3 linked regions of the Xenopus tropicalis genome follow. The protein of the gene in region 3 interacts with the protein of the main gene of each other region in a pairwise test. Links are inferred from orthologs where the notes say so. Each region holds a gene or a part of one and is shown on either strand. Other genes may lie near its edges. The genes, in order: atxn1, nfya and zc3h10.

What was found.
Region 1: the proteins of zc3h10 (region 3) and atxn1 interact in binary tests that used the Homo sapiens proteins (3 or more experiments, as listed by UniProt). The link is inferred for Xenopus tropicalis from reciprocal best matches to the Homo sapiens genes ZC3H10 and ATXN1.
Region 2: the proteins of zc3h10 (region 3) and nfya interact in binary tests that used the Homo sapiens proteins (3 or more experiments, as listed by UniProt). The two-hybrid records come from large-scale screens. The link is inferred for Xenopus tropicalis from reciprocal best matches to the Homo sapiens genes ZC3H10 and NFYA.

The regions. Positions count from the first base shown.
Region 1 is NC_030682.2:93,270,913-93,274,667, reverse strand, and holds the start of atxn1 (ataxin-1), read right to left. Parts: upstream 2,369-3,755; 5' UTR 1,302-2,368; intron 1-1,301. UniProt on the Homo sapiens protein: Chromatin-binding factor that repress Notch signaling in the absence of Notch intracellular domain by acting as a CBF1 corepressor. Binds to the HEY promoter and might assist, along with NCOR2, RBPJ-mediated repression. Binds RNA in vitro.
Region 2 is NC_030678.2:71,394,851-71,398,505, forward strand, and holds part of nfya (nuclear transcription factor Y subunit alpha), read right to left. Parts: intron 2,172-3,655; coding exon 2,066-2,171; intron 1,652-2,065; coding exon of another isoform or gene 1,634-1,651; coding exon 1,485-1,633; intron 1,391-1,484; coding exon 1,217-1,390; coding exon of another isoform or gene 1,211-1,216; intron 1-1,210. UniProt on the Homo sapiens protein: Component of the sequence-specific heterotrimeric transcription factor (NF-Y) which specifically recognizes a 5'-CCAAT-3' box motif found in the promoters of its target genes.
Region 3 is NC_030678.2:137,624,106-137,627,860, forward strand, and holds the start of zc3h10 (zinc finger CCCH domain-containing protein 10), read right to left. Parts: upstream 2,576-3,755; 5' UTR 2,512-2,575; exon of another isoform or gene 2,498-2,511; intron 1-2,497. UniProt on the Homo sapiens protein: Specific regulator of miRNA biogenesis. Binds, via the C3H1-type zinc finger domains, to the binding motif 5'-GCAGCGC-3' on microRNA pri-MIR143 and negatively regulates the processing to mature microRNA.

The sequences.
Region 1 (3,755 bases), on a different chromosome or scaffold from region 3:
CAATTTATGTGCTCACTCCTAAAAATCCATGCCTTGTGCGAGCACAATAACTGTCATATTTAAAAATGGCAACTGTTACTTTTATAAAAGTGTTTCTGGAAGGAGCAGACTGGATCATACTGTTCTCCAGGAGGGCAGGGTAAAAGCAGCGAGGACAGAACCCAGCACTGTGGGGTGGAGCAGTCTGTCTGCCAAATGCTCCGGGCCTGTCTTTCTATCAGCACTAGGCCGTGGTTCAGAACACAATGCCTTGGCTTTAATGTAGGGCAACTTGTATTACTTAGGCCAGCTCTGTGCAAATTCCTAACCACATTCTGTCATTGGTTAGGCCTATTTACATGAATTCAAAGTAGAGCAACAATAATAATAATAATATGGACTGTATGTAGTGAAAGTGCAACATAAGAGCTAAAATGCAGCCCTGTCTGTTTAATTTTGATCACAAACATGTAAGCTCACTAAACATTGAACTACATGGCTTAATATCATTAATAAAAAAAATATATTAGAAAGGATTTTATACCTAGTAAGCCAGGTTTTATGGCTGCTTTCAGGGAAGTGCCAGGGATGCTGGTAGTTGTAGTCCAGCCAAAGAGGGCCGCATGTTGGGCATGCCTAATTTACCTAATTACCTCTATTCAGCCTTCTAGCTTTCTGTATCTGTAGCCCTTCCAGTTCTTTTATGTTCATGAATAATGGAATAACCCTACAATCAAAATAATGGCAAGATTGTGCAAGTGTCTCTATAGTAATCTGGAACCAGGTGGTCTCCATAGAAGAGAAGCAGACTGATAGATCAGACAGTAGGAGGAGGGGACTAAGAGAGGTGACATAAACGTGTGCTCTCCTCTCTCGTACACACACTCACACTGGCTCTCTTCATTACCCCATGGGGAAAGCAATTACTGCAGTCTCCCTATTACTGATCAGGGTAAAACACTCTATTACTCTCAGTTCCTATGGAAAGCAGGCCCCACTCTACACGAAACACAGACAGCGGCACTCATCAAGAACATTTGCACCGATGGTGCACTCCTGGTAGGCACTGCACTATATCATTTCAGCGAACAGAAAAAATACATGCCTGTATCTCTGACTGATTTCACTTATCGCTGCTTCTTTCAGGGGGTATAAAAAGCAGGAAAAATAAGCCTGTGATCTGTAGTTCTGCAAGGCTTACAGATGATCCCAGAGAAGCTTCTGTACATGGAAATGCTATAGTACATGCATGTATAGCACTTGCCCACTAAGGTCTGCATGATCAGAACAGAAAAGTGAAGAGACAAATAAAATCGACTTACTGTAAAGTGCAGTATAGGGGCTTGTTGGATGAAGAGGGTGTCTGAGCTATTGCTTTTTTTTTCCTCCTACTCTGCCCCCCCTCGCAGAAAGACAGGTCTTGTACGTCTCCTCTACTGTAGTAGAAATGATGTCTGCAGTACAGCTCTCTCCCTCTCTCTCTCCAGTATGTAAATGTGTAATAGAAGCCAAATATGGAGCAGTTGGCTGCCTCTGCAACAGCTCAAGGATCCTACTTCATGCAAAAGGGAGGAAGGGGGGGGGCAGAGAGTGTGTGTGGAGGCAAGGCAACACTCTGGCAGACGGCCAAGGCAGCCACACAGATTATTGCATACGCACAACAGAGCTGGGGCGGTCGGCTTTAACCCCTTCTACGTGCTGATCCGCCAGCCTGCCGTATACTTGTTGTATCTCTACAGCTACTGAGGGTGCAGTTTTAAATGTGGGTGTTCCCCTTAAAAGAAAAACAAAGAGGTTTTCGGGATTCTTCTTCAGGATCATTTAAAGGAAGAAAGTGCGAGCAGAGACGTAGCAGCAGCGCGGAGTAACTTTAATACGTGCACACGTTTGATTCCTGTAGGGTGTGTGCCTCTGTTGGAAAGAGAAGAAGGGGTGGAGGAGAGGCAGAGAGTAGGAATTGTAAGGGCAAGCCAAGCTCAATGTCCACAGAGAGGAACAACGCAGACCTTACGTGTTCACGTCATGTAGGAAATCGCTTCTGGCTTAACCCTATCTGTGCCAGCAGGCTGAACAATGGAATTCATTCCACCACATAAGCCTTTTTTCAATAAGGCACCGTCCTATTTGTGTGAATGTGTTTTCCTATCTCATAAGGGAATGAAAATCCCTGAAACTTTCAGCTTTGGGCATACCCCTTCATGTAAAGACGTTTTCTATTACAGCTCACTTCCTGGGTGCTTCAGCTGCTGCCTTGTGGGAAACAGCACCAAGGGCACCTATTGCCTGTGATTTTCTGACTGTTTGTCCAGCAGGTGTCAAGTGTTTGAGGACTTTTCTAACCTGTTGTGTTTTTTTTTCCTCTCTCCAGGGAACAGAGGGTTACTGAAAAGCATGCTAACAGACTCGGTGACCCTGAAGAGTACCCTCTGGTGGTAAAACATAATAGGTTGTGGAAAACACAGCAAGCAGATGGCTTGTTTCCTTCATATATGTCATGCAGTGGTTTTTTTTGTTGTTTCACAGTTCCAATGCCCTGCAATAAGTAACAGCAAACACAGTAAAGTGTACACACGGCTTCCTGGCTGAACATTGCCCCTGGTACAAACAAACAGTCCAGGCTGGTTGTATTAAGCGATATAGAGGGCATCTTCCATCAGCCACCAACACTAAAGGTGGCCTTTGGGGGGGTGATATGAATAAAAGTACCTAAGATGTATTATAAGTCTTTAAGTAGTTAGAAGGATGTCTCACAGTTGTTTAGCTGCAGTACCAAACTGAACTGTAGGTCAAAAATGGGCGTAGGGCCACAGCTTTAAGTGAATATTCAAACAAGCATACAAGCAATATACAAAAAAGTATTAAAAAAGTGGGAAAAAATACTACTCTTTTAATGCATGTTTTTTGTGTTTTGAACTCCTCCAAGGTGTGTCTTTAGCTATCTCAGTTTAAGACGGAGTGAGCATCAGTGGTCCATACTGAAGAGAGAGAAATGGGAGCAACCAAACGCGGATCAAGATGTGGCATGCATTAAAGACTGGATAAGGCTGACCTGCTGGGCCCACAGGAGCCATGACAGATAAGCTTATAAGCTTTTACAAAATATGTACAATACTGTTACATGTATTGTTATTATAAATTACCCTTATGACTTTTGAGTATTTAATTGCAGCATGTTAACTGCTGATTAATTGCTATTTATTTGAATAGATCTGGAGCAAACTTTGCACCTATTTTCTTCCATTTCTCCTAACAGATACTAGTAATAGGTATATATAGAATAGATAGGTATATATATAGATAGATAGTATAGTGGTTTAGGTAATATTTGGCTATTTTATAACCATATTGTTATTCTCCAGAAGCAGAATCGGATACAATGTAGAAGAATGTTGAAATAAGCTTGAATGCTTAGAATGCTGAGAAATAAGGTATTTCATAAACTGTCAAACATAAATCTCACAGGTAAAGTATCGATAAATGTAACTATTACTCAATAACATTTATGTATATGGTGCAGTAATAAATAATAACTAGGGACTATTTGGAGGAATGTCTTCCATTATGTCTGGCCATATGGCCATTAAAATGCTATCCACGCCCTTTTAATATTGCTCACCATACTTGAGTGAACTAGAACCTGTACTATAAGCTTGCACTGAGCAGGACTTCTGCTTATGAGACATCCATATCCATATCCAGCCACATGCCACCTTTTACATAGAGAACAGCAGTAGGATATTCCCTACCTAGCTCAAACCTTTGTACCTCAAGAAAGT
Region 2 (3,655 bases), about 66 Mb from region 3:
GCCCTCTAACACCACAAATCAGATACTTTTAGAAAATTACATTTAAATGTAAAATTTTACTTTATTGGGGGTGTTACGGATGCCGTAGTTAATATAATCACTAAACTTGGACCCCGGGCCAGCACTCCTGTCCTTGAAAAGTGTACTCTTCCAGGGCAGTGTTACCTGCTATGCCCCTCACCTTTGCCAATGCCCCTGTTCTATCATAATAGGGTAAAATTTGCAAATTTAGGGTAATGGCACACGGGAAGACTAGTCACCCGCAGACGACCAATCTCCCCAAAATGCTTTCCCACTGCCAATAATGTAAATGGGCGGTGGAAAACATAAGCGACAAAGGTTTTTCCAAAGTCGTGAGACAATCAAGAAAGATGAAAGTGTGGTGCTCCTTCAGAAGTACCCTGGCCAGGGCAGTTTTCTGATAAAAGATGCACCAACATTGGGTCTCAGGCAAGCGATAATTAACACTAGGGGGGTGCTATATATACATATCTGCCTGCATGTAAAACACAGAGCACTTATGGGACTTAAATTACGTGCAAAAATGTAATGGTGTAAGTCGACGTTTCAGTCCTACACAGAGGACCTTTAGCAAGACATCAATTCATATCATTGCTCTGTGTTGTAGATGCTGATATTTATTGCAGCAGCACCTAGTGCTTTCTCGCCATTTTTGGCCGAGCGCGCTGCCACAGGGGTGTGGTTTGAAATGATTTGGGATGTTGTATAATGCAGCAACAAATTATTTTATATAAAAGTCATATAAATGCAGCAGGAACACCTACTTAAATGCCACCCCACACAACAACACTTTACTTTGAGGATACATTTCAAATAATACTTGTTGAATTGTGCTCTGCCTGTATAAGGAAAAAAAAAAAAAGTGTTTTGGCTAATATTTACACACTTTTAAAAAAAAAAAAAAAAAAAAAAAAAAAAAAAAAAAAACAATCTCCCCCCTATCTAATGAAAGGTTGGAGTGGCTTTGGAATACTTTTGTCCCATTCTCACATCTTTGTACAGAAACATGGTACAGTGCAGTCAAATGTGCCTGCATAGTTAAACATTTTAAACACTACATCAACTAACAGCAGTCTCCAGGCTGTACAGCATTCTCATAGCTCACAAACTTATATTCAGCAAACTCATAGCACTCTTTTATAAGTCACTGGGAGAGATCTCTGGTTCATATACTTATTCTTAGCCTTACACTCACTCTCCTCTCTTTTGGGATTTTCCCTTCTGCCTCCAATTTAGCTCGTGCTTGTCGTCTCTTTAAGATTCGGTGATACTGCTTAGCATTCACGTAAAGTGGCTCTTCCTCAAGCATCTCGGCACCAGGCAGTGGTATCCTCTGTAGAGTGGGTACAGTGCCAGCACCAGGTACCATCTGTATTAAGATATTAATAATAAGCAAAGGGAAAAAAAAGCAAGGGAAAAAAAATCATGTATTCAAACCAGAGGCATACAGTATTAATACATACCATCACCATGCCTCCAGAGTTCATCATGTTGCCAGTCACAGGAAGAGTAACTGTCACAGTTCCTTGGCCACTGTTGGTGGTATTGGTGTTGGCTCCAGCCTGCACAATCTGAGCTCCAGCTAGGCTAGCAGCAGGTATGGTGATCATTCCTGTAACAGGGACTGTCACTTAAGGGGACAAATCAGGTAAAACAAAACACAGGGACAGAGAGGTGGATAGAGGATTAATCCTAGGTAAGCCGCCAGTGCTCACAACCAATATGTTGAATATAATAACTCATAAGTTGTGACCATTGTGGGGAGAACCTGCTGTCCAAGAGAAAGGTGATTATCCAAAGTTAAACAAAGTAAAGATAAAATACCGCACCCATGCTTTAAATAAATGGCAGGTTTAATATTATAGTTCAGTAAGTGCTGCCAGTGTCTAAGGAAGCTTATCACTATATCGCAGTTATACAAGCTAAACTGAATTTTTTTATAAGCATTAGAATGATCAATCGGTGGGTGTGGAAATGTCAGAATAAGAAAATGTTTAAGTATCAGAGTAATACAATAAATAAAACACAAGTTACATTTACTTACCTTGCTGAAGAATGGTTCCGTCTGCATTTACAGGCTGGTAAACTATAGTCTGACCTTCAGCTGTCTGTGCAACTTGCTGACCCTGAACAGCTATCTGCTGCTGGTTCTGCAAATGTTAATTGAAACCATAAACAAGTCAATGACATAATAAAACACTTCATTTACTTCAATGTGTTCCTTTTTGTTAGCATTCAGTAACTTATTAAACATGTTTTTAGATCTTGCTTACACTGACTTCTCTCATTAGCAGTAGCTAAGCAGTAATAAATACATTACTTTGTTTTTTTTTGTTTTTTTTTTTTAAATGAATTCTAACAACATGTGTTGTTGCTGAAGTTTTTGGTGTAATTAAAAAGCTTCAGTTAGGGAGATCAGATCTTCTAAGGCAGCAACAAATGGTAGATAAGCTGGTCACTGATTATGACAAAAAATGTTTTCAATTTATTCTAACAGATAAAATTGTTTTCTAACACACATAATTATATCCAGTGCTGTTCTTTACACTCTCTCCTCTCTTTATTATTTTAGCACCTATATGGTTGCTAGGGTCCAACTTACCCTAAGCAACCAGGCAGTGATTTCAGTAAGAGACTGAAAGGTGAATAAAAGAGGAGCTCAACAGAAAGGTAAGTGATAAGTAATATAGTAGATAAGGCTGAAGAAAGACATATCAACATTTCATACAGTACTGCACACAATGTTAATTATTAAAATGGAATATTAGCCTCAACACGCAATTTGTATGTGGACAGAGAACTAGCTGAAAGACAGATTCCAAAAGGTGGTGATAAATGGAAAATTTTCTATTTCAACCAATGCTGTTAGTGGGGTACATCAGGGGTCACAGTGGGGGGGGGTTGGTCACAGTGGGGGGGGTTGGTCACAGTGGGGGGGGGGGTTGGTCACAGTGGGGGGAGGGTTGGTCACAGTGGGGGGGGGTTGGTCACAGTGGGGGGGGGGGTTGGTCACAGTGGGGGGAGGGTTGGTCACAGTGGGGGGAGGGTTGGTCACAGTGGGGGGGGGGTTGGTCACAGTGGGGGGGGGGTTGGTCACAGTGGGGGAGGGTTGGTCACAGTGGGGGGAGGGTTGGTCACAGTGGGGGGGGGGTTGGTCACAGTGGGGGGGGTTGGTCACAGTGGGGGGAGGGTTGGTCACAGTGGGGGGGGGGGTTGGTCACAGTGGGGGGGTTGGTCACAGTGGGGGGAGGGTTGGTCACAGTGGGGGGGGGTTGGTCACAGTGGGGGGGGGGTTGGTCACAGTGGGGGGGGGGTTGGTCACAGTGGGGGGGGTTGGTCACAGTGGGGGGAGGGTTGGTCACAGTGGGGGGGGTTGGTCACAGTGGGGGGGGTTGGTCACAGTGGGGGGGGGGTTGGTCACAGTGGGGGGGGTTGGTCACAGTGGGGGGGGTTGGTCACAGTGGGGGGAGGGTTGGTCACAGTGGGGGGGGTGACCCCTGTATTAGTTCCAATTGGCCAGTAAATTCGGGCAGTTAATACATCCCAGAATACAACAAAGGACTCTGGGTAATTGATGCTTTATTTCTATTGGCTGTCACTGTGAGTCAGAGGGAACGCCCACTCCTCTGTGAGC
Region 3 (3,755 bases):
TTCAGGCCAGATATCGGTCGGCCAGTCCGCTCGTTTCTGCCCCTACACGGGCAGATAAGCCGCCGAGTTGGTCCAAGGGACCGATATTGGCAGCTATTATCGGCCCGTGTATGGGGGCCTTAAAAAGCAGCAACTAGTGTGCTTCATTCATTTAAGAGTAAAAAGCTATAATCATAATTATACCCAATAAAGCCCATCCAGCTGTCTCTTCACCAGAACATGCAAACCTAAACATTGGTTATTAGGATTGCCACATTTAAGATAATTAAATAAAACAAACTGCAGGGATGTTAACTAGAGGGGTGGTTTGACATATAGGAGGGCAAGTAACTAGTCAGACGTTGGGTGAATCGGTTGAGTGCCCAGTGTTAAATGGAGTAAGAAATAAGAGGGCAACTATAGTTGGAATGCCTTATTCAACTGCCCCAGTTCAACATACTTAAAGGACATGTAAACCCCCCACACAAAAATGTAATCAGTGAACAGCCTCTTTGAAATCTCTCAATACCTGCCACACTGGTTGTCCAGAGGTTAATAGTAAGGCTGCAGGATCCCCTTAAAGGAACACCAAAAAATAAAAATGTTTTTAAGTAATCATAATACAATGCACTGTTGCCCTGCGCTGGTAAAATCTGCACATTTGCTTCAGAAACACTTCTGTAGTTTATATAAAAAGCTGCTGTGTAGCCATGGGGGCAGCCATTCAAGCTGGAAAAAGGAGAAAAGGCACAGGTTACATAGCAGATAACAGATAAAACACCATTGTATTGTACAGAACTTATCTGTTATCTGCTATGTAACCTGTGCCTTTTCTCTTTTAAATGGCTGCCCCCGTGTCTACACAGCAGCTTCATTTACTAAACCATAGTAATGTTTCTAAAGCAAATACACCAGTTGCACCAGTGCAGGGCAACAGTACATTATACACTTTGATTTTTTGGTGTTACTGTTCCTTTAATCACTTTTAAATCACTTAGCTCCCCCTCTCAGGAATTTGCTTTGGCTGTTGGCTTGTGGGCAAGCTCAGTTGTTCTAAGCTCAGATAACTAAACACGCCCCCAGTCTAGCAGCCAGTGAAAAGATAGCATTGCTGGTTCCCATAGAAACTCATCTCTAGCTGCAGGCTTCAATATTTTTCTCCCAACCTCCTCTCCTGAGCTCAGCACAAACAAAGCAGAACTTTTAGCAGAGACAGTCGTGCCTGTGTGAGCCTGTATTCTTGATGAAATGTATTCTGAATAAGGGTCTGTGTGTGTATGCTGTTTGCAGATTTAAATGTATCTGATTATGTACCAGAGGAAAAATGGCCACTGGGTGAAAGCTGCTATTTGCTTTAGGAAAGTGTGATGGTGCTGGCAAACGGAGAGGATATATGCAGTACAAATAATGCCATTTGGGTGGGGGAGACATGCCCAACTGATATACATTGTAGGCAAATGCAGGCTTTACATGTCCTTTAAGGCGGGGTAATATTTTTACTAAGTTTAGGGCACATATATACATGCAGAAAGAAAAAGATGTCTGTATGTTGCTACAGTTCAATGATCACCCAGCAAATGTAGAATATTATTGTCTAGGTCAGTGATCCCCAACCAGTGGCTCAGGAGTAACATGTTGCTCCCCAACCCCTTGGCTGTTGCCCCCAGTGGCCTCAGAGCAGGTGCTTATTTTTCATTCCTGGCTCAGAGGTAGGTTTCGGTTGATAAACCAAAAACCAGGTGTACAACCAAACACAGCAACCTGTAGGCTGCCAGTCCATAGGGGGTACCACAAAGCTCATACAGCCCTTATTTGGCACACCTGGGAACTTTTTTCATGCTTGTGTTGCTCCTCCAAATCTTTTATTCATTTAATAGTGGCTCTCAGGTACAAATAAAATGTTGGGACCCCCTGGTCTAGGACATGGAGGGAGGCGAGGCCACACTAACACCCTAAGGTTAATGTCTGCACGGCGGAATAAGTCACTTATGGGGTTAAGTTTTAAACGGAACTAAATTTGCCTAAAAGCAGTAGACAATTGCAGCCAATCAGCATTCCCCATGGGTACTGTTCATGGACATGCGCACTACATCGTCATACATGGGTCTTAGATTATTGTATCTACTAAATGTGACAAAACTCCTGTTGTACAAAAGAATAGGGACAATCTGATTGAAATCTCGATTTTCGACCCTAAATAAATGTATTAGCACCGTGTGAGCCCCAGTAAAGCAGGAGCCGCCGCACAACACGAGTTTAAATGAAACATTGGCTGTTTTTGCCTGTGGCGGAAGGAAGCCACTCGGAAACCAGGGAGTCTTTACAGTTTCTCCGCCAGGAACAACCATTCGCGCATTACGGGCAGAAGAAACAGCGATGGCGCCTATACACACCGACGGGCGGGAACAGAGCCGCCATCAATATGGGACAGTGGCCCGGGGTTACGGCGCCTGAATGGTCCCTCCCCTACACGAATCTCCCTACACCAACAGTACCACCAAACACATCCCGCACTCACAGATCGCTACTTACGGCTCCCGCAAACACGCTAGTCGCAAGCTCCCGGCCTCCTCACTTACAATCGATCCAACGCCACAAGTCTCATCACGCGAGACTTTGCGTCACAACTGCACGTAAGCGCCGTGACGCATCACGTACCACCATATTGGCGTGATGAGCCGACGCAGAGCTACGTCGGCTCATCACTCCAATATGGCGGTACGTCGGCTCATCACGTACCGCCATATTGGAGTGATGAGCTGACGTACCTCTGCGTCAGCCAATCGGATGGTGCTAGTAGGTGTGGTAGTTCCCCTCACAATTTGTATTTCTTTTGCTCGCACGTACTACTTCTGTTAGAGAACAAAAGAGACCGCAAAAAAATGATCTTCGTCTTGGTTTGTCATAATGTCCATGCTGTCCATGTCAGCTCCCAGTTTATTTAGTATTTGCTGCTTGGAGTTCTGACTTGGAACTTTAGGAATATAAGAGAGAAAAAATATAATGAGAAAACGTTTTTTTTCTAAATGTATCAGTTAGTAGAGTTTCTCCAGCAGAATCCTGCATTGAAATCCATTTTTCAAAAACACAGATTTTTTTTTGTATGTAATTTTGACGTTTTACATAGCCATATTCTTCATTTCTCAGGATGCTACAGCCATGTGACCTGTGCTGTTATGAACTTCAGTCACACTTTACTTCTAGGCTGCAAGTTGGAGTGATATCACCCCCCCAGCAGCAGATCAGCAGAACTACGGGAAGGGAGCAAGATAGCAGCTCCCAGTAGGTAACAGAATAGCACTCAATAGTAAAAAATAATGTCATGCATCCTCCAGTTACATTGAGTAGGAGAAACAGTAGGTTACCTGAAAGCAGTTCTAATGTGTAGCGCTGGCTCCCAAAAGCTCAGACTCAGGCACAATGCACTGAGATGGTGCCTACACACCAATATTACATTAAAAAAAACCAAACATTTGTTGGTTCAAGAATAAAATGGTAGAGCGAATTATTTGCTAAATAGTGTAATTTAGAAATAAAAAGTATACCATAAAAATCATGACAGTATCCCTTTAAAAAAACAATTTTTCCTGGTTGTCAAAAGAAGTACCTGCCACCATGGAAGCCATGTTGACCAAAATGGGAAAAGATTTTGTGCAAACTAGGGCAGAGTAAAATTGTCTGTTTAGTTTTTTTTTTTTAAGTTTTATACCAAGTTTATTGCTGAGCTGTCAAGAACCTTGGATTAATCATGAATGTCCTAAAATTCGCTCCCTCCT